Sus scrofa: one gene and its partners. The protein of the gene in region 3 binds, or shares a complex with, the protein of the main gene of each other region. Links are inferred from orthologs where the notes say so. Each region holds a gene or a part of one and is shown on either strand. Other genes may lie near its edges.

Evidence for each region.
Region 1: the proteins of TOMM5 (region 3) and VDAC2 are in contact, whole or in part, in a cryo-EM structure (PDB 9EII), measured with the Homo sapiens proteins. The link is inferred for Sus scrofa from reciprocal best matches to the Homo sapiens genes TOMM5 and VDAC2. Residues at the interface, in NP_001001790.1 of Homo sapiens: Ile25, Arg29, Leu32, Ile33, Ala36, Arg39, Val40, Phe43, Ile44, Lys47; in NP_001171752.1 of Homo sapiens: Val38, Thr60, Gly63, Asp239, Tyr258, Gln260, Thr261, Leu262, Leu268, Leu270, Val286, Leu288.
Region 2: the proteins of TOMM5 (region 3) and PINK1 are in contact, whole or in part, in a cryo-EM structure (PDB 9EII), measured with the Homo sapiens proteins. The link is inferred for Sus scrofa from reciprocal best matches to the Homo sapiens genes TOMM5 and PINK1. Residues at the interface, in NP_001001790.1 of Homo sapiens: Met1, Phe2, Arg3, Ile4, Gly6, Leu7, Ala8, Lys10, Leu11, Asp12, Pro13, Glu14, Met16, Lys17, Arg18; in NP_115785.1 of Homo sapiens: Gln484, Ala488, Gln491, Ser495, Lys496, Pro498, Val502, Lys520, Leu522, Lys523, Leu524, Met527, Glu565, Cys568, Gln569, Ala571, Leu572, Leu573, Cys575, Ser576, Trp577, Ala579, Ala580.

What each region holds. Positions count from the first base shown.
Region 1 is NC_010456.5:77,762,016-77,771,797, reverse strand, and holds the start of VDAC2 (voltage-dependent anion-selective channel protein 2), read right to left. Parts: upstream 4,634-9,782; 5' UTR 4,333-4,633; intron 4,128-4,332; 5' UTR 4,104-4,127; coding exon 4,073-4,103; intron 3,072-4,072; coding exon 3,003-3,071; intron 2,165-3,002; coding exon 2,115-2,164; intron 1-2,114. UniProt on the Homo sapiens protein: Non-selective voltage-gated ion channel that mediates the transport of anions and cations through the mitochondrion outer membrane and plasma membrane.
Region 2 is NC_010448.4:78,859,581-78,869,362, reverse strand, and holds the start of PINK1 (serine/threonine-protein kinase PINK1, mitochondrial), read right to left. Parts: upstream 6,169-9,782; 5' UTR 6,075-6,168; coding exon 5,679-6,074; intron 1-5,678. UniProt on the Homo sapiens protein: Serine/threonine-protein kinase which acts as a sensor of mitochondrial damage and protects against mitochondrial dysfunction during cellular stress.
Region 3 is NC_010443.5:238,328,387-238,338,168, forward strand, and holds TOMM5 (mitochondrial import receptor subunit TOM5 homolog), read right to left. Parts: upstream 4,681-9,782; 5' UTR 4,593-4,680; coding exon 4,472-4,592; intron 877-4,471; coding exon 842-876; 3' UTR 508-841; downstream 1-507.

The DNA of each region.
Region 1 (9,782 bases), on a different chromosome or scaffold from region 3:
CATTGATGGGAATATTAGGGGCCAGGTACACGTTACAAAATGAGTTTCACACTTTTGAATTACATACATTAAAAATAAATAAAAACACACTAGGGATTCCCAGCGTGGCTCAACAGTAATGAACCCAACTAGGATCCATCTGGACACAGGTTTGAACCCTGGCCTCGGTGGGTTAAGGATCCAGCGCTGTGGTGTAGGTTGCAGACATGGCTCGGATCCCACGTGGCTGTGATGTAGGCCAGCAGCAGCCACAGCTCCGATTCCACCCTTGGCCTGGGAACTTCCATATACTGGAAGTGTGGCCCTAAAAAGCAAAAAAATATAAAAAAAAATTTTTTTAAAGCTGTATCTAATTAAACTCCTATACATTCTTCATGTTCTTAAGCCTAATTTCATAAAATTCCTGGCCACAAAAAGCCTTTCCTTTCCAATAAAGACTCTGATTTATTGAACAATCTAGTACTAGATATACTGTTCTGTTCCGTCATTTAAAGTGTCTCTCCAGCCAGCAAGCCTTTTAAACACAAGAATTGAGTCTTCTACTTTTTTAGAAGGCCTTTTGTATTTCAGCAAACATACAGCAAGTGGTTTATAGAGGCCAATAGGTTAAGAGAGGAAACACAAAACAAACACCTGTTATCCTGAGCAAGTAAGTCACTCAACCACTGAAAACTCAGACCAAAGAAATCAAATGACAGATGTGACCAATATAAAACCCCAGAAATCCAAGTCTAGGCATTAAGAAACTACAGAATAATTAATTTAAATAAATATCAGTTATATGCATTACGGGAGTTAACAACTTACAGCAAGAATTTATCAAAATAACCAGTATGCACACATTACACCCCATCCCTACAACAATCTCAACATGAAACAAAAAAAATCCTTAGGAAAAAAAACTACACAAAATAAATTTTACTTTACTCTTAGGGAGTCAGGCAGAATCAAGATATCCAAATATCAAAATATTAACCTCTCAAATATGGAGTACTATTAGAGTTCCTATTGTGGCTCAGCAGATTAAGAACCTGACATAGTGTCCATGAGTATGCAGGTTCGATCTCTGGCCTCACTTGGAGGGTTAAGAATCTGGCACTCCACAAGTTGTGGGTTAGGTCACAGATATAGCTTGGATCTGGCATTGCTGCAGCTGTGGGGCAGGCCTGCAGCTTCAGCTCCAGTTCAACCCCTAGCCAAGGAACTTCCACATGTTGCAGAAAAAAAACGTTTTTTAAAAATACTCAAATTTAGGACTCTAAAAATTCACAAAATACAGGTGGAAATGTCTCCAAGGAGGACTGTTAGAATATAATCATTGTATAAATGATTACTACACTCAAATTACGAATTAGTTAAAAAAAAAAAAAAAAAAAAAAAAGGAGCTCCCATTGCTGCACATCAGAAACAAACCCAGCCAATATCCACGAGGAGGCAGGTTTGCTCCCTGGCCTCCTCAGTGGGTTGGGGATCCCTTGTTGCTGTGGCTGTGGAGTGCAGCTGTAGCTCAGATTAAATCCATAGCCTGGGAACTTCCATGTGCTGCAGATGGCATTAAAAAAAAAAAGGAAGAATAAATTAGTGAATATTTTATGTGCAGAACTCTTAAGGCTTTTCAAACTCATCAAAAGGGCTTGCAAAAAAGTAAAACAGGTTGCAATCTTACTGAGTAACAGAATCCCACATGACCAGTCTTTCCTGAGTACCTTGCACATACAAAGTAAGTAATATGACAAAAGATCACACAAAACCCAGAAATCCTATCCAAAAATGAAAATAAAATCAAGATAAAATGCCCTTAAAATGAAATCATCTTTTGTTTCTTCAAGATAAAATAGGCATTTCCGTGTGGCCCAGCGGTAATGAACTCAACTAGTATCCATGAGGACACAGGTTCAATCCTTGGCCTTGCCAGTAGTTTAAGGATCTGGCATTCCGTGAGCTGTGTGTAGGTTTCAGACAGGCCTTGGATCTGGCATTGCTGTGGCTGTGGCCAGCAGCTGTAACTCCAATTCAACCCGTAGCCTGGGAATTTCCATCTACCAAGGGTGAGCCCCCCCCAAAAAAAAATTATATAAAGGCTCAACAGAACTTATCAGATACCTAACACTCACCACGCCACTGCATGACTTTGTTTTCACATCCAGTTTCACCAACCCAAAACCTTCAAGAGAACAAAATGATTCTTTTGTATAAAAGATGCATGACAACAGCCAACTATATACACTAAAAAAAGAAAACCAGAAAGATTTCACATATTCAAAGGGAGACAAAAATGTGCATTGATACATGATACTTAAATGAAAAATTCTGTGAATAGACAGAAACATCCCTATGAAGCTTTGCCTAATATATTGGTGTGTATTTGGCAATCCCCCCCCCAAAAAAAAACCCCAACTGTCAAACAATTTTATCAAAGCATTTATTTAAAAATGCTTTTCAAACCGAAATATCAGATTAGAAAAATCACTTCAACTTAAATCTCAGAATAGCCAATAATTTATTATAATACAGGCACTGAGAACATTTAACCCAAAGAGGTACCTCCTTCGGGGATTAATAATCTAAACAATTAATAATCTAAATAACTGGGGAAATATTCTAAAGGACAGGGAGGGTGAGGTGTGGAATAAAATCTTCAAGAGAGTCCTAATTTATTCGAAAAAACCCATAACTCTTTAGTAGGAGTCACCACCATCAAAGCAATCCAAGACAATCATCAATTCTAGTCAACCATGGCGTAAACTATATCTCAAAGAAAAGAAAGCATGATTGCTTTTCTTCTTAAAGGTAAATTCCTGTAACTCAAGTTTGAAAAAAACAGATGAAACTGGGATAGAATTTGGATTGTTTTACAGTACTATTTTAATAGAAATCTTATCTTAAATATAACTAATAAGAGAATGCAGCAAAATACTTACAATTTAAAGTCAATAATTTCCCTAAGCAATCCAAACACACATTTTCCACTTCAGATCTAAAATTTTTAAAGCAATTCTTACCAAATCCTTTGTTGAAAATATCTCTGGCAGCTTTGCCAAGGTCAGCATATGATGGCGGAATACACATTGCTGGTGGGAAGAAACATTCCAATGTTAATGTCCCTGTGCTCCCACAGTCTGTTCAAGAACTAGATTATGAACAGACTGCTATCTTTAAATCCAAGCAATCCAACTTGTTTTTATTACCACGAGGAGCTACAACAAAACTATAGTCTACTAGGATCCATGAGGGAGACATCAGCACCAAAGACTAATTTCTAAAACAGATAACTATAGTAAGTGGCCAAAAAACTTGGGAAATTCCTTCCAAAATATACAAAGAATCAAACACATACACACATATATAACTATACATTCAAATATACCTGCCAAAAGTCACTGGAATAGGCTGATTTAACCAAATGAGATTAAAAAAACTAAGACAAGTCCCTCACCCCCTCCCCCAATACATCCTTTAGTATCCTCTCTGAGGCCAAAACCAATATTCTGGAATGGGAAGAGAAAGGTAAATAATACCTGGGGAACTTAACGGAACTTAAAAAAAAGCCATCTATGTTTCACTCAAGTGTCTACATCAACTAAATATCAGATGGCACTTTAGACATATCCTCGGCCAATGCTGTGCGGCTTAAGGGCAAGCAATCTGAGCTCGTTACACTAGCTCATTCATTCTACACAGCACGTCCACGCCCTTAGGAGCACATGTAATGACCTTGTGCACTCACAAGGGAGATTACTACTTCCTCTAAAAAAGTGACCGATCCAAGCCTCCAAAAACCAAATCCGGTATCAGTAACTTTTTCCTCTGAGTCCATTAAAGACACATCCAAAAGCTGAAGGTGAATGCGACCATGAACCAACTCCCCTGGCCTAGTCCCCCTATTCGAAATCCAGCAACTCAGTCCCTCCTCCGCAGAACTAGAGGAGTCAGACGATGGAGAAACTACCAAAAGGGACAAATTTCCAAGTCCTCGGAGAGATACGGGAAAAGAAGCCCTAGTTTTCCGTTCGACAGGCTTCGACTGTCCAGGCACCGCCGCCCCGTCCCGCAGAGATCCCCCTCTACTTACGCCGTGGGCAGGTCTGTCCATAGGACGCCATGGCGAAGCCGTCGGATGAGGTGATCTGAAGGAGGGACATAAAGTGTGGTCAGCAGGGGTCAGAAGCAAACCAAGGGGCCAGAAAGGGGGTCTGGGACAGAGGGGAGAGGGGCCGCGGGGCAGCGCGGCCATCTTAGGGAGCCAGGGCCGACCCAGAGTCCGGCTCAGACATCCTGCTTGGCCGCCCAGGCCTACGCCCCCGGGTCAGAGTGAGGCGGGGGCAGCGGTACCTGGTGGTCTCCTGGGGGGAGGGGGAGGCGCCCCTGCCGTTCGCTCGCAGCAGAAACCGTTCGGCTCCTTCAGGGTCGGGCTGCAGCTCCCTCGGCTGGAGGGCGAAGTGAAGGAGACACCGTTCCGCCTGCCGCAACCCTGTCCTCCCCCCACCGGCCAGGACCCTGCCGCTGCCCCTGGGGCTGCCCGCCGCGCCTGTCCCCGCAGCGCCGCCTGCTGCCCACTCCAACCTGCTCTAAAACAGCCACGTGCTCCAAGAGCACCCCCGCCCCCGGGATAGGGCGCCTCGGTCCCTCGGCGGGGGCCAGAAAGACAGACGTTGCCGGACCTCAGGTCAGGCAGCGAAGAGGACAGCCCCAGAGACGAGGGGGCGGGGAACGACGGATGCTGCCGGAGGGGACCGCGAGGGCGGGGGGATGGGGTGGAGGCCCCGCGCGCGCTCAATATGGGCGGGGCGGGGCGTCGGGCGCGTGCCTGAGCGGGACTGCGCGCGACTGGGCGCGACCGCGCTCCCCGAGGTCACGTACATCTCTCCAACTCCCCTTCTTGGCTGTGACTTACATGCCCTGCAGAGCCAATCCCCGGTAGAGGAAGGAGTCTGCTGAGCGATACCACTTCTGCCCTGAGCAAGTGCTTGCGTCTCTGGAAGACCGTGTGTCTCTCCTGGCTCAGAGAGAAATGAGTGGGGCGCTGGGGCGTACCTCCAGCCCCTCGCCCACTCCCTTCTTTCGCCCGCTTCCCATCATGGTGTAATCGCCATGCTAGGCGGGGCTCGGCCTGAGAGGCTCTCTTGGGCTGCCCCGCCCTGAACAAACTTGAGCACGTCTCGGGGTGCCCCGCCTTTCCCTACTCCACCCTACCCCCGCTCAAGCCTTAGGGTTCCTTTTCTGCCTCCTTCGTCTGGATTGGGGTGGGACTGCTTTACACACACAGAGAAACTGGAGCGGTCTTGGTGAGTCAAGCCTGCTAGAAAATTTAGGAATCATGCTGACCAAGCATTAGAACGCTGCACTCCAGTTCTCTGGGTGTGCAGGAAGTGAAGAAGCCAAGGGGACAAGAAAAAAATGAGCGGTCTAATGAGATAGAAATAGGGTCAATTTAAGGTCGGTAATCAATAGCCAGTCTCAGCAATTTATCCCTTCTCTACCCCAGTTTTGTCTTGTTTTGTTTCACTCTATAAAATAAATGAGATGAAGTGGTTTTAACAGCCATTCAGCCATAGACTAAGGAAAGCTCATTTTCCCCCACTCTGGCTTTTTCTTCTTTTTCTACCCACCGTGTGGCATGTGGAGGTTCCCAAGCCAAGGATCAAACCATTGCCACAGTAGTGGCCCAAGCTGCAATAACAAGGCAGGGTCCTTAACCCACTTTGCCCCAAGAAAATTCCCTGACTCTAGCTTTGAAAACCACCTCTATTTAAATGCTGCAAAGTTACCATCTTTTTCTAAACCAGGAAAAAAGGGATAGCTAGATAGGCCTCCCATTGCAAACCCGGATTTAAGCTGCAGCCTGGTGGATTTCCCTCCCATGAGCAGGCCCAGCCAGCAAGCTTGCCTAGTCGTGGTTGGTATTACACATTGTAAAGGGTTAGAAGAAGGGAAAAGTTTTTGTGCCTAAAAGTTCAGGCACCAGAGTCCTGATTAATTCCTTCATTCACGTTCAGACAGGTTGGTCTGAAATCAGTCTGGTTCCACAGAGAACTGGTCTGCTCTGGCTATATTTGATGCTAATGGCAGAAACTGTTATCCTGTCCTAAGTGCAGCATAATATACTACCTCCCAGAAAAACCTAGTCTCTGCTCAGTCATCTTTGGGGCTTATTCACACTGTGAACTATCTAACATATTTAACCCCCAGAGAATCTTAATGTGCTACAAAACACAGATCTGAGGCTTTACCCTCTAATAAAAATCCAAGGGATATACACAGTACCTAATAACAGGAAGAATCGTGGCAATTTATTTCAAAGTGGGATTCAGTAACTATATATGAGTACTTACATCCAAAGCCCTTTAAAGAGTCCACTCTAAAACAAAACAACAAAATCAAAACAAAAAACAAAGCTCTTTAGACCAAAGCATCATTAGTAGCAGCCACCACCTATAGAGCAACTACTTTGTATCACCCACAAAGGAAGCAAAATCCATTCAGACACACTTCCTGCTCCCGAGGAAGCACTTACAGTCAAGCATGTAGAGATGCAGAGATGTGTAGAGATGTCAAGAACTGGAAAGGTGGAGTTCCCATCATGGCTCAGTGTTAACGAACCCACCTAGTATCCATGAGGACTCAGGTTCTATCCCTGGCTGAGTGGGTTAAAGATCTGACGTTGCCATGAGCTGTGGTGTAGGTCGAAGATGTGGCTCAGAGCTGGCATTCCTGTGGCTATGGTATAGGCTGGCAGCTGCAGCTCTGATTTGATGCCTAGCCTGGGAACTTCCATATGCCATGGGTTTGGCCCTAAAAAGACAAAAAAAAAAAAAAAAGCTAGAAAGGGTCCAAAATTTTCCCTATGTGCAAACTAGCAAGTTCACCTGCCATAGTTTCATATATTGATAGATGCTGGCAGAAGACAGGAAAGTTAAAGGTTAGAGACAAAGGATTTTATTACTCCAGGCTCAGCAAGCAGCATAAGCTTCATGTTCAAATCAGTTCCCCTTGCCCTCTGTGTTCCACAGGGGTGTTGCAGACCACCCTAGGGAGTAACTGCACACCATGTGTTTGTGTCACAGCTGAGGAATCTTAAGCTTAGGAAATATCCTGCCTTATAAGGAGCTACAAACCTGTCCAACCTTTGCCCCAAGAGAGACATTATTATACTTCCCGGGAAACAAAATCTGCCCTCTGCCTGTTAACCCAGAGGGAGCTAACATCCCTGTCTCCCAAGGCTATTTGCTATGTAGACATTCTTGAAAAGATAGTTTGAGATAAAAGCTGTCACAAGACCTGTAGAAACACCACTGAGAATTGTCCTACAACATAGGACGGAGAATTCAGGGGTTCTAAGCACAATGCTGAATGTAAGCACCTGCTGACACAACACTGTAAATCAACTACACTTTAATAAAAAATTAGGAGTTCCCATTGTGGCTCTGTGAGTTAAGGACCTGATGTTGTCTCCTGAGGACGTGGTTTGATCCCTGGCCTCACTCAGTGGGTTAAGGATCTGGAATTGCCACAAGCTGTAGCAAAGGTTGCAGTGCGGCTCAGATCTGGTATTGCCATAGCTGTGGCATAGGCCTCAGCAGCAGCTTGGAAGTTCCATATGCCACAGGTGGGGCACCAAAAATTTTTTTTTAATTTTTAAAGTAAAAAAATAAATAAATGTAAGCACAGAGAACTGTGATCATGCACAGTCAGACTGAGGAGACACTTGCATTAAAGTATGAAAGTAGGACTTATCAAAACTGGAAAGCCAGGGGAGTTCCCGCTGTGGCGCAGTGGTTAACGAATCCGACTAGGAACCATGAGGTTGCGGGTTCGGTCCCTGCCCTTGCTCAGTGGGTTAACGATCCGGCGTTGCCGTGAGCTGTGGTGTAGGTTGCAGACACGGCTCGGATCCCGTGTTGCTGTGGCTCTGGCGTAGGCCGGTGGCTACAGCTCCGATTTGACCCCTAGCCTGGGAACCTCCATATGCCAAGGGAGCGGCCCAAGAAATAGCAACAACAACAACAACAAAAGGCAAAAGACAAAAAAAAAAAAAAAAAGATCCGGTGTTGCCATGAGCTGTGGTGTAGGTCAGCAGCTGTAGCTCCGATTCTGACCCCTAGGCTGGGAACTTCCATCTGCCACAGGTACAGCCCTAAAAAAACAGGGAAAAAAAACAACAAAAAAACACTTTTATTATCAAAAAGTTTCTGTGGGTCAAAAATTAAGCTTAGCTAAGTAGTTCTGGCTCAGGGCCTCCCATGAGGTTGTAGTCAATATATTAGCTGGGGCTACTGTCATCTGAAGCGTTAACCACGCTAAAGGATCTGCTTCCAAGGAGGATCCCTCACATGGCTCTTGGCAAGAGGCCTCCATTCCTCACCATGTGGCTGTTTCCCTAAAGCTGCTGCTTGAGTGTCCTCATGACATGGCAGCTGGCTTCTCCCAGAGTAGGTGACCAAAGAGAGAGACTGAAGCCACAATGTCTGAACCTGCCTCAGAAATCACACTGTCATTTCTGCTTTTTTCTATTTGTTGTAAGTGAGTTACTAAGACCAGTCTATCAAAGGGAGAGAAATCAGGCACATCTTTTGAAAGAAGTATTTAAGAATTTGTGGACATATTCTATTTTTAATTTTTAAAATTTAAAAATTTTTATGGCCACACCTGCAGCATATGGAAGTCCCCAGGCTAGGGGTTGAATCAGAGCTGCAGCTGCTGGCCACAGCCACAGCCGCAGCCATGCCAGATCTGAGCCACATCTGCAACCTATACCACATCTTGCAGCAATGCTGGATCCTTAACCTACTAAGTGAGGCCAGGGATTGAACCCCCATCATCACAGACACCATGTCGGGTTCTTAACCCACTGAGCCACAGCAGGAACTCTGAGTATATATATTTTAAAATGCCACAGTCAGTGCTGTGGTCACATTATTTACCTTTTTTCTACACAAAAAATACACTAACTCCCTCCTAAAACCTCCCCAAACCTCCACACTTATAGCATCAGCAAGAGGTTTCTTGGGTGTAGTTCCTTTATGCATAGCCACTCTAGTAGAGTTCTACTTGATCTTAAGACCTACGAACAAGGGACAACTACCTACCCCTGCCCGTCACTATACATATCCAACACACACACAGTAGGTCAGACACCAGATAAATGCTAAAGACACCCCTGGTCAAAAGGGGGGAAACAGGATGAACAATGGAGTCCACAACAGTTCTGAAATCCAGCCAGGCAAATTTTGAAGTTTCCTTTACTAGGATTCCGTCCTAATCTTGACCGTGCCAGGTGAGGTCACATGGGGAGAACCAGCCCTAGATACACATTCCTGTAGGCAGGCCCCAGAAGCAGGCTCTGGACTGTTTCAACAGGGGAAGCTGAGATCTTTTGTACCTAGAGTTTGGGCCAGATACAGAAGGTGAGCGTGGGCTTGGGTGCACCTGTTCCTTGGCCCTGTAGACTCCTCACCCTGTAGGAATAGGCACAATCTGAGAAGGGTTAGAGTGGGGCCCTGTAAAGTCTGAGGCTCAGGGTGGGGGCTCCTCTTGCCCAGGTCTTAGGGCCTAGGGACTGGGAACCTTCTGTGACTGAAACAAACATTTATTGAGATGAAACAAGTGAAAGAGAGAACTATAAGCTGTGGTTACAGTTAGAATGTGGGACTTTGGGATGTAAGATTTTACAGTGGAACATTCTGGTGGCGAGTAGCCATGGAAGAATGGAAGGGAAGTGAAGTGCACTGGAGTTGAAGGTGGTCAAGGATGAAGGTGAGGCTTGGTTGTTGGAGCTCTCTGCT
Region 2 (9,782 bases), on a different chromosome or scaffold from region 3:
CACCAGCGTTCAGCTCTAGAACTTTTTTCATCTTGCAAAACTGAAATTCTGTATTAATACCCATCCTTCCCCAGCCCAACAGCCTCCATTCACTTAATGTCTCTGTGAATTTGACTAAGCACCTCATGCGAGTGGAATCATACAGATTTGTCTTTTTGTGACTGGCTTAGTTCCCTTAGAATAACATCTTCAAGTTTCCCCCATGCTGTAGCATGTGTCAGAGTTTCTTTTCTTTTTTTTTTTTTTGACTGTGCCCATGGCATGTGGAAGTTCCTGGGTCAGGGACCAAACCCGTGCCACAGCAGTGACGTGAGCCACTGCAGTCAATTTCCTTTCTTTTTAAGGCTGAATATTATTCCACTGTATGTACATAGCACATTTGGCTTATTTTTCACCACTGATGGACACTTGGGTGTTCACCTTTTGACTGTTGTGAATAATCCTGCTGTGGACACGTGTACAAACATCTGTTCAAGTCTCTGCTTTCAATCCTTTTGGATATATACCTGGAAGTGGAATTGCTGGATCATATGATAATTCTATTTTTAATGTGGGGGAGAACTGTCATACTGTTGTCCACAGCAGCTACTTGTATGCAGGTTTTTTTTTTGTCTTTTTGTCATTTCTTGGGCTGCTCCCGCGGCATATGGAGGTTCCCAGGCTAGGGGTTGAATCAGAGCTGTAGCCACCAGCCTACGCCACAGCCACAGCAACGGAGGGTCCACGCCGCGTCTGCGACCTACACCACAGCTCACGGCAACACCGGATCCTTAACCCACTGAGCAAGGCCAGGGATCGAACCCGCAACCTCATGGTTCCTAGTTGGATTCGATAACCACTGCGCCACGACGGAAACTCCGTATGCAGGTTTTTGTTGAACGTAAGTTTTCATTTCCCTGGGTAAATGCCTGAGATGGCAATGGCTGGGTCATATGATAAATGAATGTTTAGTTTTGTAAGAAACTGCCAACTTTTTTTTTTTTTTTGGCTACACTCATGGTACATGGAAGTTCCCAGGCCAGGAATGTGAGCCACAGCTGTGACCCACGCCACAGCTGTGGCAATGCCAGATCCCCAAACTGCTGTACCACAGCAGAAACTCCTGCCAACTATTTTCCAGAATGGCTGTACCATTTTATATTTTCACTATCAGTCCAGTTTCTCTGCATCCTCTCAAACATTTGGTATTATTACTACTTTAAAATTTTTGTCTGTTCTAGGAGTTCCCGTTGTGGTACAGTGGAAACAAGTCTGACTAGGAACCATGAGGTTGCGGGTTTGATCCCTGGCTTCACTTGGTGCATTAAGGATCCCGCATTGCTGTGGCTGTGGTGCAGGCCAGCAGCTGTAGCTCCGATTAGACCCCAAGCCTGGGAACCTCCATATGCTGCAGGTGCAGCCCTACAAAGCAAAAAATAAAAAAATAAAAAATTTTATCTCTTCTAATAAGTATGCAGAGATATCACATTGCATTTTTTATTTGCATTTCCCTAATGGCTAGTGGTGTTAAACATCTTTTCATATTCTTGTTTGGCACCTGCAACTCCTCTTGGTGAAATACATATTCATGTCTTTTGCCTATATTATAAAGGGTTTTTTTCCAAATGAGAAATAGAGTGATCACTATTATACTCCAGTATGATACCACATGGAATTTTAGCATTAGAGTTGCCAGATCTGGTGTTTTTTTTTTTTCAATAAGAAGTCAAATGCTTGAATTTTTAAAATTAATTGGCACGAGATCCTGCTATATATAGCACAGGGAACTGTATCTGGTCACTTGTGATGGAACATGATGGAGGATAATGTGAGGAAAAGAATATGTATAGATATGTATGACTGGGTCATTTGGCTGTGCAGTAAAAATTAACAGAACACTGTAAATCAACTATAACAGGAAATAAAAGTCATATAAAAATAAAATTAATTGGCAACTAATTAAAAATGTTAAGACACAGGAGGGTGAGGTGTGAGAAAAGGATGTGGAGATGGAGGATCAAGCGCCTCAGTTTTAAAAAAAGCCTCCATAGGAGTCCCCACTGTGGTGCAGTGGAAACGAATCTCACTAGGAACCATGAGGTTGGGGGTTTGATCCCCGGCCTTGCTCAGTGGGTTAAGGATCCGGTGTTGCTGTGAGCTGTGGTGTAGGTCACCGATGCAGCTTGGATCTGGTGTTGCTGTGGCTGTGGTGTAGGCCGGCAGCTGCAGCTCCAATTGGACTCCTAGCCTGGGAACCTCCATATGCCGTGGGTGCGGCCCTAAAAGGTCAAAATAAATAAATAAATAAATAAATAAAAATACAAAAAATAAAAAAGCCTCCATATTTGTCAAGTTGGCCATCCTTGGCTTCTGCCAGTTGGGCTGTAAAAAAAGACAAGGACAGAGGCTGGGGACTAGGTCAGATGTCACCTGTCACCCCAAACGGGCCAGAGCGCAAACATGAGACACTCTGGTGATGAGTAACTGAACTGGGCTGAAAACCAGAACACATGGAAGACACTGCTTGCTCTTCAACCAGCCATACCCTTGGGCAAGTCACCCTACCTTCCATTAAGGTCATTCCATAAGAATGACCTCCCTGGAAGAAGAGGGAATTCTGCCAGCATACGGCCTTCAGACTTGACATCAACAATGGTTCTTGCCTGGATCACCAGCCTGCTGGCCCACTCTGCAGACTGAGGACTTGGCAGCCTCCTTCCTGAACTTCGGTGCCTATTCTTAGGATAAATCTCTTTTTATAAACACATCCTATTGGTTCTGTTTCTCTGGAGAACTCTGATTTTGGTTGAGTAGAAACAGAATTCTCTGAGCTATTTCAAACATTTAAAAAGCCTTAGAACCCTATGTATCTAGTCATCCCTGATAATTATACAGATTAACTAAAAACCTAGGTCTGCTTAGTCAAAGCAATCCTGAGAAAGAAAAATGGGGCTGGAGGAGTCAGGCTCCCTGACTCCAGACTACTACAAAGCTACAGTCATCAAAATAGTACGGTACTGGCACAAAAAAACAGAAATACAGATCAGTGGAACAGGATAGGAAGCCCAGAATTAGGAGTTCCCTTTGTGGCTCAGTGACAACAAACCCGACTAGTATCCATGAGGATACAGGTTCAATCCTGGCCCTGCTTGGGGGGTTAAGGATCTGGGGGTTAAAGACCTAAATATAAGACTGGATATTGTAAAACTCCTAGAGGAAAACATAGGCCCACGACTTTCTGACATAAACTATAGCAATATCTTCTCAGATCCACCTCCTGGAGTAATGACAGTAAAAAAAAATAAATAAACAAATGGGACTAATTAAACTTAAAAGGTTTTTGCACAACAAAGGAAACCCTAAACCAAATGAAGACAACTCACAGAATGGGAGAAAATTTCTGCAAATGAAGTGACTGACAAGGGATTAAGCTCCAAAGTATATAAACACCTCCTGCAGCTTAATACCAAAAAAAAAAAAAAAAAAAAGAAAGAAAAAGCCATCAAAAAACGGGCAGAAGATCTAAACAGACAATTTTCCAAAGAAGACTTAGAGATGGCCAAAAATCACATGAAAAGATGTTCAACATCACTATTAGAGAAAGGCAAATCAAAACTACTATGGGGGGGAGTGGTTTCTCAGGGCTACCTGAGATGCTGTCTCTTGGGCTTAAGTCCTAATTTTGTCTCAAATAAAATTTAATTCTCAACTTTCAAAAACAAACAAACAAAAAAACCTGCTATGAGGGAGTTCCCGTCGTGGCTCAGTGGTTAACAAATCCAACTAGGAACCATGAGGTTTCGGGTTCAATCCCTTACCTTGCTCAGTGGGTTAAGGATCCAGCATTGCCGTGAGCTGTGGTGTAGGTCGCAGACACAGCTCAGATCTGGCATAGCTGTAGCTGTGGTGTAGGCTGGCAGCTACAGCTCCGATTAGACCCCTAGCCTGGGAACCCCCATATGCTGCGGGAGCGGCCCTAGAAAAGGCAAAAAGACAAAAAACCAAAAAACAAAAAAAAACCCACACTATGAGGGGAGTTCCTATCGTGGCTCAGCGGAAACAAATCTGACTAGTATCCATGAGAACACAGGTTCGATCCCTGGCCTTGCTCAGTGGGTTAAGGATCCAGCGTTGCCGTGAGCTATGGTGTAAGTGGAAGACACGGCTCAGATCTGGCATTGCTGTGGCTTTGGCGTAGGCCAGTGGCTACAGCTCTGATCCAGCCCCTCGCCAGGGAACTTCCATATGCCATGAGAACGGCCCTAAAAAGCAACAACAACAAAAAGGCTACAAACAATAAATGCTGGAGAGGGTGCGGAGCAAAGGGAAAAGAGAACCCTTTTAGTCTGTTGGTGGGTGTGTAAAGTGGTGCAACCACTATGGAAAATAGCATGGAGAGTCCTCAAAAAACTAACAATAGAATTACCATATGATCAAGCAATCCCACATCAGAGAAAACCATGATTTAAAAAGATACATGTACCCCAATGTACACTGCAGCACTATATACAACAGCCAAGACACAGAAGCAACCTAAATGTCCATCCCTCTGTTGATGGAGTGGATAAAGAAGATGTGGTACATATACCCAATGGAATATTACTCAGCCATAGAAACGAATGGAATGACGGCATTTGCAGCAACATGCATGGACCTGGAAATTATCATGTTAAGTGAAGGTAGTCAGACAGTGAGACACAAACATCATAGCTATCACTTATAGGTGGAATCTAAAAAAGGATATTATGAACTTATTTGCAGAACAGAAACTGACTCAGACTTTGAAAGACTTACGGGGACCAGAGGAGACAGGTTGGGGGGGGGGGATACGCTGGGGGTTTGGGATGGCAATGTAAAATTAGGCTGTGACAGATTCTTTATAAGCCTAGCACCTCCTCACAGTCAGGGCTGGTGCCATCTTGAGCTCAGCCACCCTCTGACGCCTTAATAAACGCTTTTGCTTTACAAATAAATAAATAAAATTAGGCTGTAATTATGGTTGCACAACTATAAATACAATGAAATTCATTGAATAAAAATAAAGCAGGTCTGCTATCTTCTCTTGCTGTTCTTGGTTTTTGCTGAAGCTTCAGATCTGTCATTAATATCAGTCACTGTGTCACTTCTGATTTGGCTAAACTGTGGAAGGAGCCTGGCTGGAGCAGTGGTTAACGGCACAGGCTTTGTAAAATCAGACTTGGGGCACTGCCCTTTATGAGCTGTGTGACTTTCAGCAATTTACACCACCTTTCACTTCTCTGAGTGTGTTTCCTCATCCATAAATTAGGGATGACAACCAACCACAGGAATATAAGTATTATGTCTTAGTTGTCCTTAAATTTCTGAAAATTTACAGAAAGTTATTGGCCAAGGTGCAACATGAGTGGTTATTAACATAACTTCCAAAATATGCTGTTTGAAGGAAGGGAAAACAGTAAAAAGTGAGCTGTTAAGCCCCAGGTCAGGAGATCAGTGACATCGAAAATGAGCCTTAATCAGTGATGTCAAGGAATTTCCAGCTCGGACAAAGGTAAACCCTGACCCAGGGCCCCAAATCAGTTAATGCCTCCCAGCTCCGCCTTCACCACGCCCACACTTAGCCCCACCCCACACCCACCCAAGACCCGCCCACACACTTAGCCCCGCCCGCAGCCCGACTCCCGCTCCCGCTCCGACCCCCGCCCGCGGCCGGCGCTCACCTGGATCTCATGACAGGCGGAGGCCGCCCGCCGACCCTCCGCTTGCTTCTCCTCAATGAGGCCCAGCCCCAGCCCGAAGGCCAGAAAGACAGCCCGGCCGCAAGGGCCCGCGCCGCCCCGGGCCCGCACTACGAACTGTCGCTGGAGCCGCGCCGCCAGCCCGGCCACTGACTGGCGGAAGAAGCGGTAGCGGCCGGGGAGCCCGAGCGCGAGCCTGCGCGGCTCCGCTCCGGGTCCCGCGGCAGGGCCAGGGCGCTCTCCGCGGCCCCAGCCCGCCGCTGGGCCCGGGCGTTCGGGCCGCCCCCAGGCATAGGTCGGGCCAGGCTTGGCTGTGAAGCGCAGCAGCAGCGCTCGGCCTAGCTGCAGGCCCCGGCCCAGAGCCTGTCGCACCACCATGGTGCCGCGGCTGGGTCTCCTCCGAGCCGCAGGAGGCCGGGACGCCTGTCACAACAACAAACTTCGGGTCGGCGCCTTTGCGCAGGCGCGGGCGCCAATGGGCGGGGCCGCCTCTCTGGCTGTTTCTCCGCTGTGCGCGCACGAGGGCGCTGTTCGCGCATCTGCGCGGCGGGTAGTTTCTTGCTCTTGCACCCAGGATCTAAAGATTGCATTGTCAGGGAGATCCTGTCAACATCCTTGGTTCTGGGCAAAATCGAGAAATTGAGAAGAGAAATGAATAATTATTACCCCTTACCGACGGTGCCAGAATCTACGTTTGTTAATTTTCCTACCAATGAGATAGGAAGGTCGTTTTTATAGATAAGAAAACTGAGGAAAAAGAAAAAAACAGGGCAGTGACAGTCCAAGGTCATATGCAGTATCAGAGCTGAGGTTAAAGTTTGCATTGCCCTGATTGCTGAGTCCTTGCCCCTGATGCCCTTCCACTCGTCTCAACAAGCCCACAGGCCCCGGAGAGAAATCTCACCCTTAGGCCACTTTTTTCAGATTAGTGAACAGAGTCCCTGAGATGTGGATCAACTCACAAAGTCACACAGCATGTTGGTGGTAGAGCCTTGTTACCCAAAGCTGCTGTTGGAATGGCTGATAAGGAATTTGTACTGAGTGATTTTTCTTTCTTTCTCTTGCCTTTTTTAAAAAGAGAATTTACAAATACAATAATGGAAAACTATAGTGAACCCCATGTACCCAATTATCCAGTTTCAACAATTATCAACAAATAGTCATTATTTAGTCACCTGTGCATATCTTCCTACTTTCCATTCTCCCATCTTTAAAGCAAATCCCATATATCATATCATTTCATTTATAAATACTTAAATATCTATTGAGAGAGAACTATTTTTTTACAAAACATAAATGATATTGTCACCTCTAAAAATATTACCATTAACTTCACAATATCATTTACTATCCAATCAATATTCAGATTTCCCTGTTGTTTTATTTTACAGTTGTTCAAATTGGGATCCAGACAAGATCTACATGATTTATTTGGTCAGTGGGTTATTCTTTAACAAGGAACCAAGCCTTCCCCAGGCTAAGGAGGTATATTTTGTGGTGCTGCCATTTAAAAAAACGTTCCTGTAATCATGAGTACCTCCAATCTCCTTACCCTTAAGGCTGGTTGTGGGTAAGAGGCCCTGGAAGAGATGTTAAAATGTTTTTGAAGGTATGGCCATGTGTCACAGATGACCTTCAGGGCAAGGGGACCTTCGTCTAGCCTGAGACCCACCTCAGCATTTCTTGAATAGAAAGACACAGTCTAACCTATTTATTTCAGGACTCATTTGCGACCTTTAGCACAGCCCTGTTTCTGGGCTGTAAAGTTGTAAGAAAGAATGAGAGTAAATAGGAATAAAAACAAGGCAACTGCAGAAAGATCCACTTTGAATTGGTGAAATTTTTTTTTTTTTTGGTCTTTTTGTCTTTTCTAGGGCTGCACCCGAACCACATGGAGGTTCCCAGGATCAGGGTCTAATCTAAGCTGTAGCTGCTGGTCTACGCCACTGCCAAAGCAACGTGGAATCTGAACCGAGTGTGCGACCTACACCCAGCTCATGGCAGCACCCGATCCTTAATCCACTGAGCAAGGCCAGGGATCGAACCCACAACCTCATGGTTCCTAGTCAGATTCGTTAACCACTGAGCCACGATGGAAACTCCAGTGAGTTTAAACATGTCAAAACCAGTATAGGAATACTTCCTAGTGACTCAACATTTTGAGGATCCGGCGCTGTCACTGCTGTGGCGTGGGTTTGATCCCTGGCCCGGGGAAAGTTGCATGCTGTGGGTGTAGCCAAAAAAGAAAAAGAAAGAAACCAGTATATACATTGAATGAGAAGCTGGTAATGTTACTCCTAGGTATAGACCCCTAGAAAAGCATATGTAATTTACCCGAGAATGTTTATAGCAAGACTATTCCACATAGTGTAAAACTGGAAACAACTCAAATGGCCATCTCTATAGTAGACTGGAAAATTGTGGTATATTCACCCAATGGAATACTAAACAGCCATGAGAGTGTCTACAACTATAGAGTCCTGGGACGTTGTTTCCTGATCCGTTTATGTGATGAAAATTCTCCTAAAAGTACATTTTGATTTGTGCATTTTTCTGTGTGTAGTATTTAGGTAAACATTTTACTTAATGCTTTTTTAACATAATGAAAGCCTTTCTGAAAAATTCAGGGAGTTCCCATTGTGGCTCAGTGGTAACGAACAGGACTAGGATCCCTGAGGATGTGAGTTTCCATCCCTGGCCTCTCACATTTGGTTAAGGATCCGGTGTTGCTCTGAGCTGTGGTGTAGATCACAGATGCAGCTCAGATCTGGTGTTGTGGCTGTGGCATAGGCTGGCAGCTATAGCTCTGATTCAACCCCTAGCCTGAGAACTTCCATATGCCGTGGGTGTGGTGCTAAAAAAAAAAAGAAAAGAAAAATTCAGTCTATTTTATCACCAGGGAACCCTCCCCACTGGTAACCACTAGTTTGTTTTCTGTATCTGTGAGTTCTGTTTCTTTTTTGTTATATTCACTAGTTTGCTTTATTTTTTAGATTCCACATAAAAATGAGATCTTAGAGGAGTTCCCATCGTGGTTCAGCGGAAATGAATCCAACTAGGAACCATGATATTTCGGGTTTGATCTCTTGTCTCGCTCAGTGGGTTAAGGATCTGGTCTTTCAGTGAGCTGTGGTGCAATTCACAGACTCGGCTTGGATCTGGCATTGCTGTTGCTTTGGTGTGTAGGCCAGCGGCTACAGCTCCGATTTGACCCCTAGCCTGGGAACCTCCATGTGCCTCGGGTATGGCCCTAAAAAGCAAAAAAAAAAAAAAAAAAAAAGAGAGAGAGGTCATAGAGTATTTGTCTTTCTCTGATTCATTTCGCCTAGCATAATAGCCTTCAAGTCCATCCATGTTGTTGTAAATGGCAAAATTTCATTAATTTTTTTTTTACAGCGGAGTAGTACTGCATTGTGTGTGTCTATTTATATATATGTGTGTGTATATATACACATATACCACATCTTCTTTATCCTTTCATATATCGATGGACACTTAGGGGGATTGAGGTACAAACTATTTTGTATAAAATGAATAATCACAGGAGTTCCTGTCATGTCTCAGTGGTTAACGAATCCGACTAGGAACCATGAGGTTGTGGGTTCAGTCCCTGCCCTTGCTCAGTGGGTTAACGATCTGGCGTTGCTGTGAGTTGTGGTGTAGGTCGCAGACACGGCTCAGATCCTGCATTGCTGTGACTCTGGTGTAGGCCGGTGGCCACAGCTCGGATTGGACCCCTAGCCTGGGAACCTACATTTGCTGAGGGAGCAGCCCAAGAAATGGCAGAAAGACCAAAATAAATAAATAAAATAAATAAGCACAAAGTATATAGTGTATAACAGAGTTAATATAGCCAATAGTTTGTAATAATTATAAATGGAGTATAACCTTTAAAATTTGTGAGTCACTGTTGTACACCTTACCATATATTATATTGTAATCATACTTCAGTAAAATTCTTTTTTTTTTTTTTTTGTCTTTTTGCCATTTCTTGGGCTGCTCCCGTGGCATATGGAGGTTCCCAGGATAGGGGTCGAATCGGAGCTGTAGCCATCAGCCTACACCACAGCTAGGGGTTCAATAATA
Region 3 (9,782 bases):
GTTACTGAGAGACAAAAACGTAAACCCAACAGAATTAGATAAAAGGAAATGAATGTAGTTGCATCTGGGAAGAAGGTTAAGCACCATCCCCTTCTCCCAACAAACTTCAAGAAGCATCTGACTTAACTATAACATTTTCCCCTTTGGTGGCATTACATATTCTTGGCATCCTGCAGTAACACTGCCTTTTGCAAAGACTGCTTAAGCATAAAACCATGGCATTTTATCAGGATTAGTAAATTCTCCAGTCCCTAACAAGAAGGACTCAGTAACAGTCACATTATAATAGCCTCACCAGTGACTGTCAGTTTGCTGCAAAACATGGGTTAAGCCAAATAAAAGCCCTATTGTCTTGGCTGGTACACGTATTAAAATATAGACGAATGGTCTTGTGCTTAAATGATGGCATTGTGTGCTGGCTTCCACAAAACATAACAAATTGAAGGGAACTCTTCAACAAATATACTCCAGATGAAAGTAAAAAAGTACACAGAAATGACTCACAAGACAGTGCCATTGCAGATATAATTCCCTTATAATTAACACTTGCTAGAAAATGGAGTTTGACATCATTTACAATTATATCAACATTCATGAAGGCTGATTATCACAGGCAAAAAGGGTGTACTATGACCACAAAACATCTTTTCCTAATTCCCAAATGGCTTTATCTTTTAGCTATAAACGTCAGTTACCAAAGCCAAACTTGTTCTTAACAAGCAGAATGTTTATGTCCATTCAAAGAGTCTCTTACATCTCTCTGGGCTTATTCATCTGCAGACAAGAGTAGAAACTGTAACCAGGCTCTTCACATCATGCGTTCACACGTGATGCCCACTCTTCATATGCTGTCCAATTTCTTTAAGATAAAAGGAGCTGAAAGAAAAGTAAACCCAGCATTTGTTTTCAGATCTATTAGCCTACAAGTTATATTACAGAACTTTAAGAATGGGGAATAAACCTGACAGATTTAGTTCAACACATTTTTCAAAACAACTCCAAGTCCACACCCAGCAAAATGGATGCACTGTCTTTCAAGGCAGCCCATTTCCTGTCATGCAGCTCGGACTATTATAAAGTTCATTCTTGCACTATATAAAATCTTTTCTCCAGGTAGTTCTCCCTCTTAGGACCATAAAGAGTAAATCCAGTCCTCCTTCAACTGACAAGCCTTTACGTTGTGATTTAACTGTCGAAGAAACAAACAAATTGTGATTTTTCACTTTTTTCTTTTCTACGGCATATGGAATATGGTAGATCCCAGGCCAGGGGTCAAAATGTGGCAATGCCAGATATTTAACCCACTAAGCAAGGCCAGGGATCGAACTCACATCCTCAAGGACACTGTGTTGGGTTCTTAACCCGCTAAGCCACAACAGGAAGTCCTGGCATTTTTTGCTTGTAAAAACTCATTTGAAAGAAGGCAGAGGGTAGGGGAAAACACTGAGGCAGGGATCCAGAAGAGCTGGACACATATTTTGGTTCCCCTGCTGATTGACTGTACACCATTTTTGTGCTCTAGGTCATACCTGCTACAGTCCTACTTCAGTTATGATGAGGGTCCAGTGAGGTGATGTAGATATAAATGTCTAGAAAACAAGGAAGGGTTGTAAAAGGGATCTAAGGAAGTGATAGTGTTCTGTGTAAAAGGCTACAGCCAAAACAAGCACATGAAAAGATGCTCAGCACCACTCATCATTAGGAAAATGGAAATGAAAACTACGGTGAGATACCACTCACACCCACTAGGATGGCTGGCAAGGATGTGGAGAAACTGGAACCCTTGTGCACTGTTGCTGGGAATGTAAAACAGTCTAGCTGCTATAGAATACAGCATAGTGTTTCCTCAAAAAACTAAGAGTAGAGATATCTATACCTCCACGTTCACAGCAGCATTCTTTACAACAGATAAAATAAAGAGGCAACCCAAGTGTCCCAAGACACTTGGACAATGAATGGATAAGCAAAATGGGTATATATATACAAATGGATATCATTCAGCCTTAAAAAGGAAGGAAATTTTGACATATGCCACAACACAGATGAATGTTAGGACATTTTGCAAAATTAAAAGTCAGTTACAAAAAAACAAATACTGTTATGATTCCACTTAGATGGATACTTGGTCAAAATCACAAAGACTTAAAGTAGAATGGTGGTTGCCAGGAGCTGGGAGGAGGGGGGAACAAGGAATTATTGTTTAATAGCTATAGCTTCAGTTTTACAAGATAAAGAGTTCTGGAAATAGTCTTTCTGGTAGTGCTGGTTACATATGCTAATATTAAACTGAACACACGGAAATCTCTCAGAAGCTGACAAAGTCAACAGTATGACCAGTCTTTAAAAACAACAATAAAATAAAATAAAATAAAGTAAAAGTGTTGTGAAAAAAAAAAAAAAAAAAAAAAGGAGTTCCTGTCGTGGCGCAGAGGTTAACGAATCCGACTAGGAACCATGAGGTTGCGGGTTCGGTCCCTGCCCTTGCTCAGTGGGTTAACGATCCGGCGTTGCCGTGAGCTGTGGTGTAGGTTGCAGACGCGGCTCGGATCCCACGTTGCTGTGGCTCTGGCATAGGCTGGTGGCTACAGCTCCGATTGGACCCCTAGCCTGGGAACCTCCATATGCCGCAGGAGTGGCCCAAGAAAAGGCAAAAAATAAATAAATAAATAAAATGAATAACCTAAAGTGTTGTGAAAAAAAAAAAACAATAAATTCTAATCACAAAAAAAAGTTAACAGCCATCAAAAGAATGGACAAAGTATGATATATCCAGAAATTGGCATACTATTTGGCAATAAAAAAGTATAGATGAACCCTGAAAACATTATGCTAGACACAAAGTCACAGTACTGTACAATTCTATTTATATGAAATGTCCAGAATTGGAAAATCCCTAAAGACAAAAAATGGGAATGATCAGTAATGACATGGTGTTTCTTTCAGAGGGAAATAAAATGTTCTAAAATAGATTGTAGTGATGGCTGCACAACTCTGACTACACTAGCAACCAATAAATTGTACACTTTGAGTGACTTGTATAACATGCATATTGTATCAATTTAAAAATCATAAGGAACAGTATTCTGTATTTTTTTTTAAAAAAACAACTCATATCGAATACAAAGGTCATTGAAAAGAAGCAAATATTTTACCGGCAGCTAAGTCAACCAAAAAAAGAGGAAGAAATAAATTGGGAGTTGTAAAAAGCTGTTGGAGCTGGACAATCTGAGGTGGCCTGTTCACCAGGGCTCCCTCTTCCGGGGAAGCACAGTATTACCACAGACAGCGAAGGGGGCAGATTAAGGGGACAAGACTTTAGGGAGTTCTGGCCCTAGGCCCAAAAGGAGCCCTCTACAAGATGACCTTAGTATGACCTTCATTTATTTGAATCGTCTCTTCCTCTTCATCAAGGACCTACTAACATACAGCAAGGAACAAGGAAAAGAACACTGAACTGAAAATGAGACGGAGGGGCAAAGTGCTTCTCAAATTCCTATCAGTAAAACTAGAAAACTGATCTATAAAACTGCATCCAGATCTAATATTGTGTGCTGGTAATTCTGATAATTTGCGTAAGTGCCCTCTAAATGTGGAGTTCTTATTTGCAAAGTGGACAGAGATTTATGTCCTGCCTCTCCCAGGGCTATTGTGAAGATCAGGCAGTGCAAATAGTTTCTATCAAAAATAAAATCGAATAAACTCTCAGGTATTATCATCAGTCCTATTAGGAAGTTTCCACTGTGGCCCAGTGATTAACACATCGGGTTTGTTTCTGTGGAGGCGCGGTTCCAGCCCCGGTCCAGAGCAGTTGTTAAGGATCCGGCTGTTACTGCAGCCGTGGCATAGGCTGCAGCTCTGGCTCAGATTAGATTCCTAGCCGGGTAACTTCCATATGCCTCTGTGTGGCCAAGAGAAAAAAAAATTAATCCTATTAACTCATACTCTTTTTTCGTCATTCTTTTAAAATAGCAATTATTTACTCCGCCCTCCATACAAATAAAAGGAACAAAACCTTTTGGATTTCAGAGGTCAGCAATAATGGAAGGAAACTTGGCAGCGAGTAAAGAATTCTGGATTCTAGGTCAAGATCATTCACCAAATCGCTGAGTGACCTTGAGCCTGCCATTTATCCACTCTAGACACAAGTTTTTCTGTGTGCAAAACGAGGTAGCTGCTCTGGGAGATAACCCTTGAGGCGCTTTCATTTCAAACGGTCGGGCTGGGTGATTACCCTGGACCGTGATTCAACCTCGAGGTCCAGGTCGCCGCGTGCCCTAAAACACTCCAGCCCTCACAAGCAGATCCTAACCGCGTCGCGCATGCGCCCGCTGCCCTCGACGTGCACGTCCCTTGCGCCCAGCGACCGCTTAGTTTAGTTCAAGGCCCCCAAAGGCCAATGGGATCAAAGTTGGAGGGCAGTGTCCGCGAGCTCCCTGTTAGTTTCACGGCCACAGCCTGAAAGGACACTCACTGACTCGCAGCAGGGCCACATAGATGAGGAAGTTCCGTATGGAAGAGATCACATCCTCACGCATCTTCCGTTTCATCTCCTCAGGGTCCAGCTTCGGCGCGAGGCCCTCGATCCGGAACATCGCGGCTCTGCCTCACCAATTCCAGTGGTCGCGCTCTGCAATTCTCAGCTTCCGTGTGGCGCCCGGAACTCGACCCAATCCCATTTCCTGTTCCCGCCCCTCGTTTTCGACTCCTGCGACGGGAGCCTGCGAAGGACAAAATTCATCCTTACATTGACTTGTTCTGAAGGAGGGCGGCCTGAAGGGGGCACACGCCATCTTAGCGACGCGCGACTCGGGTTCCTGCAGGCTCCTGTCTTGAGCCCCGCGCGTGGAGCGGCAAAGTGGTTTTGCGCCTCGGAGGGGGAGGTGCACTTAGGTACCATCTTAAATAATAATAGTTAGCATTTATTAAATACGCAGTACATTTCTACTCATGAATTCGATATTATTATTTTCATTTTCTAGATAAGAAAATTAAAGCACAGAGATCTTTAAAACAACTTGCCCAGATAGTGTTTAAAATACCTCAGGGGGAAAAAAAAGGGTTGGGAAAGAGAGATGAAAGGATATTAGCAAAATATTGAAAATAACTTAGGTGGTGATTAGTGTATCATTTCAGTTAATTATTCCAGTCTTTTATTATGAATAATTTTGAACTTTTTAATGATGAGCTAAAATAAAAAGACAAAGATGATGACATTTGCTCAAGGTACACAACTAGTCAATTCTGAGCAGGGTTGTGTACCTAGTTAGACCAGTAGGGTCCCAGACACATAGTTTTTAACATTTTACGTTTTATTATTGTCATCTCATTTTCAGTGTTAACTGATCATCACAAATTACAGTATTGGCCCAGTGATACAGTGTATATAAATCAAGTTTAGATCTGTTCAACATTCTACAGATAAGGACAGAGAGGTTTAGAAACCCAGTGTAATTCCTAAAGTCTTTCTACTAATGATGGGCAGAGGCAGGGTTCTAATGCAAATAATTATAATATTAAATTGAATTCTCTTTCCCCTGCACCCTTTTGTTCCTCTGTTAGTCTTTATTAGCTATTAGTGCCTGCTTGGATGGGCATCTCTGGAAGCAGAAGGTAGGAATTTAATGCAACCAGATTTCCTGTCACGGAATGATCAAAACAGTTGTTAGAAGGCTGCTGCCCCAAATTATGCATGCCAACTAGCCATATATAATTCTCAGACACGAACCAGATGACTGACTTGCTCACATAATTCAAGACCAGAATGCTCCTTCTAGACTGTACATTGCATAGCAACAATGGATTTTAGATAAATTTGAACAGTAATTTACTATGGAAGCAACAGATAACTCTTAAATCTTGCTCTTCCCCCCCCCCCAACCCCCTGCCTTCCTGATTGACAGAATGTAACACATTGAGTCAAGAAAGGGAACTCATTTGCTTATTCAGGCTTTAGTAACCTCTTGCATCTATAATTCATGCAGTGGAATAGCAGAGGCAGCCCTGGAGTGGGAGGGGCTGATTCCCAAGGAATGGCTCCATCTAACCCTTGGAGAGCGTTTAGAAAGCCTGCACTGATGGTGGAAAGCAGTGGGGGCTGCGGAAAGAACCTGAAAAAGGAGGTGGGGGGAATGAAAGTATGTTTCTTTAGTTAAAGGGAGGAGATACAATTTTTTTTTTGTCTTTGCTTTTTGGGGCTGCACCCTCAGCATATGGAAGTTCCTGGGCTAGGGATAGAATTGGAGCTATAGCTGCCAGCCTGTGCCACAGTCACAGTCACCGCAGACATGGGATCCAAGCCGTGTCTCCACAGCTCAGGGCAACACCAGATCCTTAATCCACTGAACGGGGCCAGGAATTGAACCCTCATCCTCATGGATACTAGCCATATTCGTTTCTGTTGCAGCACAACAGGAACTCCCAAAGGGAAGAGATGTAATTAAATGCGCTTGAGAGTCCCTTTCAGTTCTAACAGTCTGTGCATTTAAATTCTAAATGTGTTATCTAGGGCATTCTGGTCTGGAATGTATGGACATCAAAATATTATCAAATGTGGTGAGATATGGAAACAGCCTGTGTGTGTTTTCCATGGTAGGAAGAACATAACAATAAGGCACACCTCATCCATCTGAAGAGTGAGGCAAAGCAGATGTGCAAAAAATGAGTTCTTATGTGATTCCAGTAACTTACATCCTTAGTGTTGCCCGAGTTTAGATATACAGTTCTCAAATGAAATTACCAATTTTTTTTCTTCACTGAGATGCTCTTGAATAACTTGCCTGGATTCACAGGGAACTGAAGAGAGAAGAAATTAACAGAAGATCATGTTTCTTGGTAAAAAGCACAGATTTTTAGCATTCATCCAATGTAAACACCTGTTTATTTGAAAACATGGTTGTAAATGGCTGATTCGTTAAAGTGCAATATTATTCTCTAAAAGCCTGGGGCTTGCCTCCTTGTAAAGAGACTGGAAGGTAGTGGGTAGAAATATGGTGTAGCTGTGTCTTGGGGGTAAGGAACTGGTTCTGGATGCGAACGATTTAGGAGGTGAACTGTTTCTGTCTCAGAGACGTTCATCCTGAAGGACTCTCTTCCCTTTCGTGGCTCTTCTAGTTGTAAAGGAGGAAACATGAAAAGATGTTAGATACTTTCATTGTCTTTCCTTTTCCTGGTTTTTGTTTGTTTGGCATGTAGGTGGAGGTATTGTCTAGTTGAGGTAGGCTTAGGTGAGGCAAACTGAGAGAGCATACTTCAGGAAGTTAACGCTGGAATGAGCTGTTCCGTGTCTCGGACACCTCATTTGTTCCTCCTTGGAAGGATGAGGGAGTGGGAGCTAATCTCTAAAATCACTGGCAGCTCTAAAATGCTGAAGCTCCATGCTTGTTTTTCCTGCTCTTCCTTCATAACCTTGCACTTTAGTGCTAATAGTAAAGGATTCCCTGTGATATGCCATGAAAGGCAAGAAATAAAAAGTATGCACACATACTTCAACATTGATATTTGTATTCATTAATCTGTTCACAGAAGAAATCGTGGCTGCTGTCATAGCCTGTCTTGCTTTCCATTTCAATCTCTGGAGGGATTTAGAAGCTGCTTCCCTTGCCTCGACTTTCCAGACAGCACTGCACTCAAGCATTCAGTGTGTACAACCTACCTGTAAAAGAATTAAGTGTTTTAATTTCTATCAATGGGGAGGAATTTGTATTTGCAAGGTCAGAGATTGACAGGTGACTCACGATTGAGGAAAAACCCCAGCATATAATCTCAGGAATCTTGTGGTTTCTAATTGATAGGGAATGTGTGCACTTCACATATTGAACAGTTGAACCCCTTCCCTTGGTAGATGAGAAAACTGAGGTCCAGAGAAAAGCTAGTTAGAGGCAGAGCCCCCAGGGGGCTAGGGTAAGTCTCTGGGCTCCTAGTTCAGAATTTTTTCCCATCGTACCCTCCAGCAGTTTGATACTTGGTGGATATTCTCATTGATAATCCTCTCCTCGGGGGTACAGACTAGAAGAATGGGGTGTGGGTGAACTTCCATTTGAAAGGGGCAGGAGAAGGGGTCCTGCTATTCATCAACAGGCTGAGGGTAGCCCCTCTTTCCATGCTTCCACACCCGACACCAGGAAACTAATCTGGGCTATGTTGTTAGCTAGCTCCACACCTCTCCTTCCTCATTCCTTCAGAGATGAGCATAGTCTGGTGTTCCCAAAATAAACTTGACTTCATCGGGACCCAAGATGAAGGAAACAAAGGTCAGGACAAGGAAGGGCAGGACACCTGGGCCTCAATGAGGGTTGCTCTGTGACAGATGCTAACCAGAGTCCTCACCTGTGAGATGGAATAATAATTGTAGAAATCACTGCCTAGCAAGAGGCATCTTCTGGAAGAGGGTCCTTTTGAGCCTCAAAGGATGAGTAAAATTTTGATCACCTTTTCCTCACTGGCATTTGCTTTCCCTAATACCCTGTTCTCTGTCTAATTTTTAGGACTATGTTGTCGGGACATTTTTGGTCTCTTACCAAGTAGACTGTAAGCAGCTCAAGTACAAGCAACATGTACTTTAAGCCTCCAAACAGTTGAGGACAGGTATTGACACAAGGTGAAAACTGAGTTTTTACCCCGTGAATGAATGAATGAATGAATGAGCTTCCTATCTTCTAACCTTTAGAATTAAAACATTGGTAGCTTTTTGGCCACAAAAGAAGTTTTCCCCAGATTCTTTTTATATAGTTAATTATTTCTCATTATTTTAGTACAAACTGTTTTTTGTTTGACTAAATAAAATTCATTTAAATAACTTTAATGTACATAGGCAAAGTTAATGAATGAAATTTAATTTACTTGCTTTATGAGTTCCCTGGTGGCTCAGTGGGTTAAGGACATGGCATTGTCACTGCTGTGGCTTGGGTCACTGTTGAGGCAGAGGTTTGATCCCTGGCCCAGGATCTTTTGCCTACTATGGGTATAGCCAAAAAAAAAAGATTTCTTTTCTTTCTTTTCTTTTTTTTTTTTTTCAGGCTACAACTGCAGCATTTGGATGTTTCCAGGCTAGGGGTGGAATTGCAGCAGCAGTCGCTGGCCTATGCCACAGCTACAGCAACTTGGGATCCGAGCCACATCTTTAACCTACACCACAGCTCACAGCAACACTGGATCCTTAACCCACTGAGTGATGCCAGGAATAGAACTCACACCCTCATGGATACTAGTTGGGTTCATCACCACTGAGCTACAATGGGAACTCCTATTTTCTTTAATGCATCTTTAGCAATAGAATTATATATTAAACTCACATTATACTTTTAATAACTTTCCCCCACAAAAGTATATTATTATAAATATTATAGATATTATTAAGCATTAATTTATTAAATATTTTTAAATTGTTATAAATTTTAGAAAAAAAATTAGAGAAAAAAAGAAAATAGCAACTTTCCATCATCCCACAACCTATTAACATTAGTGGTAATCCTTTCAGCCTTTCTACTATCATATACATAAGTAGCTCTCACTCTGTTTCTATATATGTATATATTTTTATTTTTTTACCAAAATAGATCATGTAATATATGCTGTATTGTGTGTTCCATTTAAGTTATATGACTATTTTCTTATATATTTAAATATTCTTCTAGGCATCCCTGCTGTGGCACAACAGGATTGTCAATATCTCTGCAGCATCATGATGCAGGTTTGATCCCCAGCTCTGCACAGTGGGTTAAAGGATGGGGAATTCCATATGGCATGGGGCGGCCAAAACCCAAAAATAAATAAGTAAATATTCT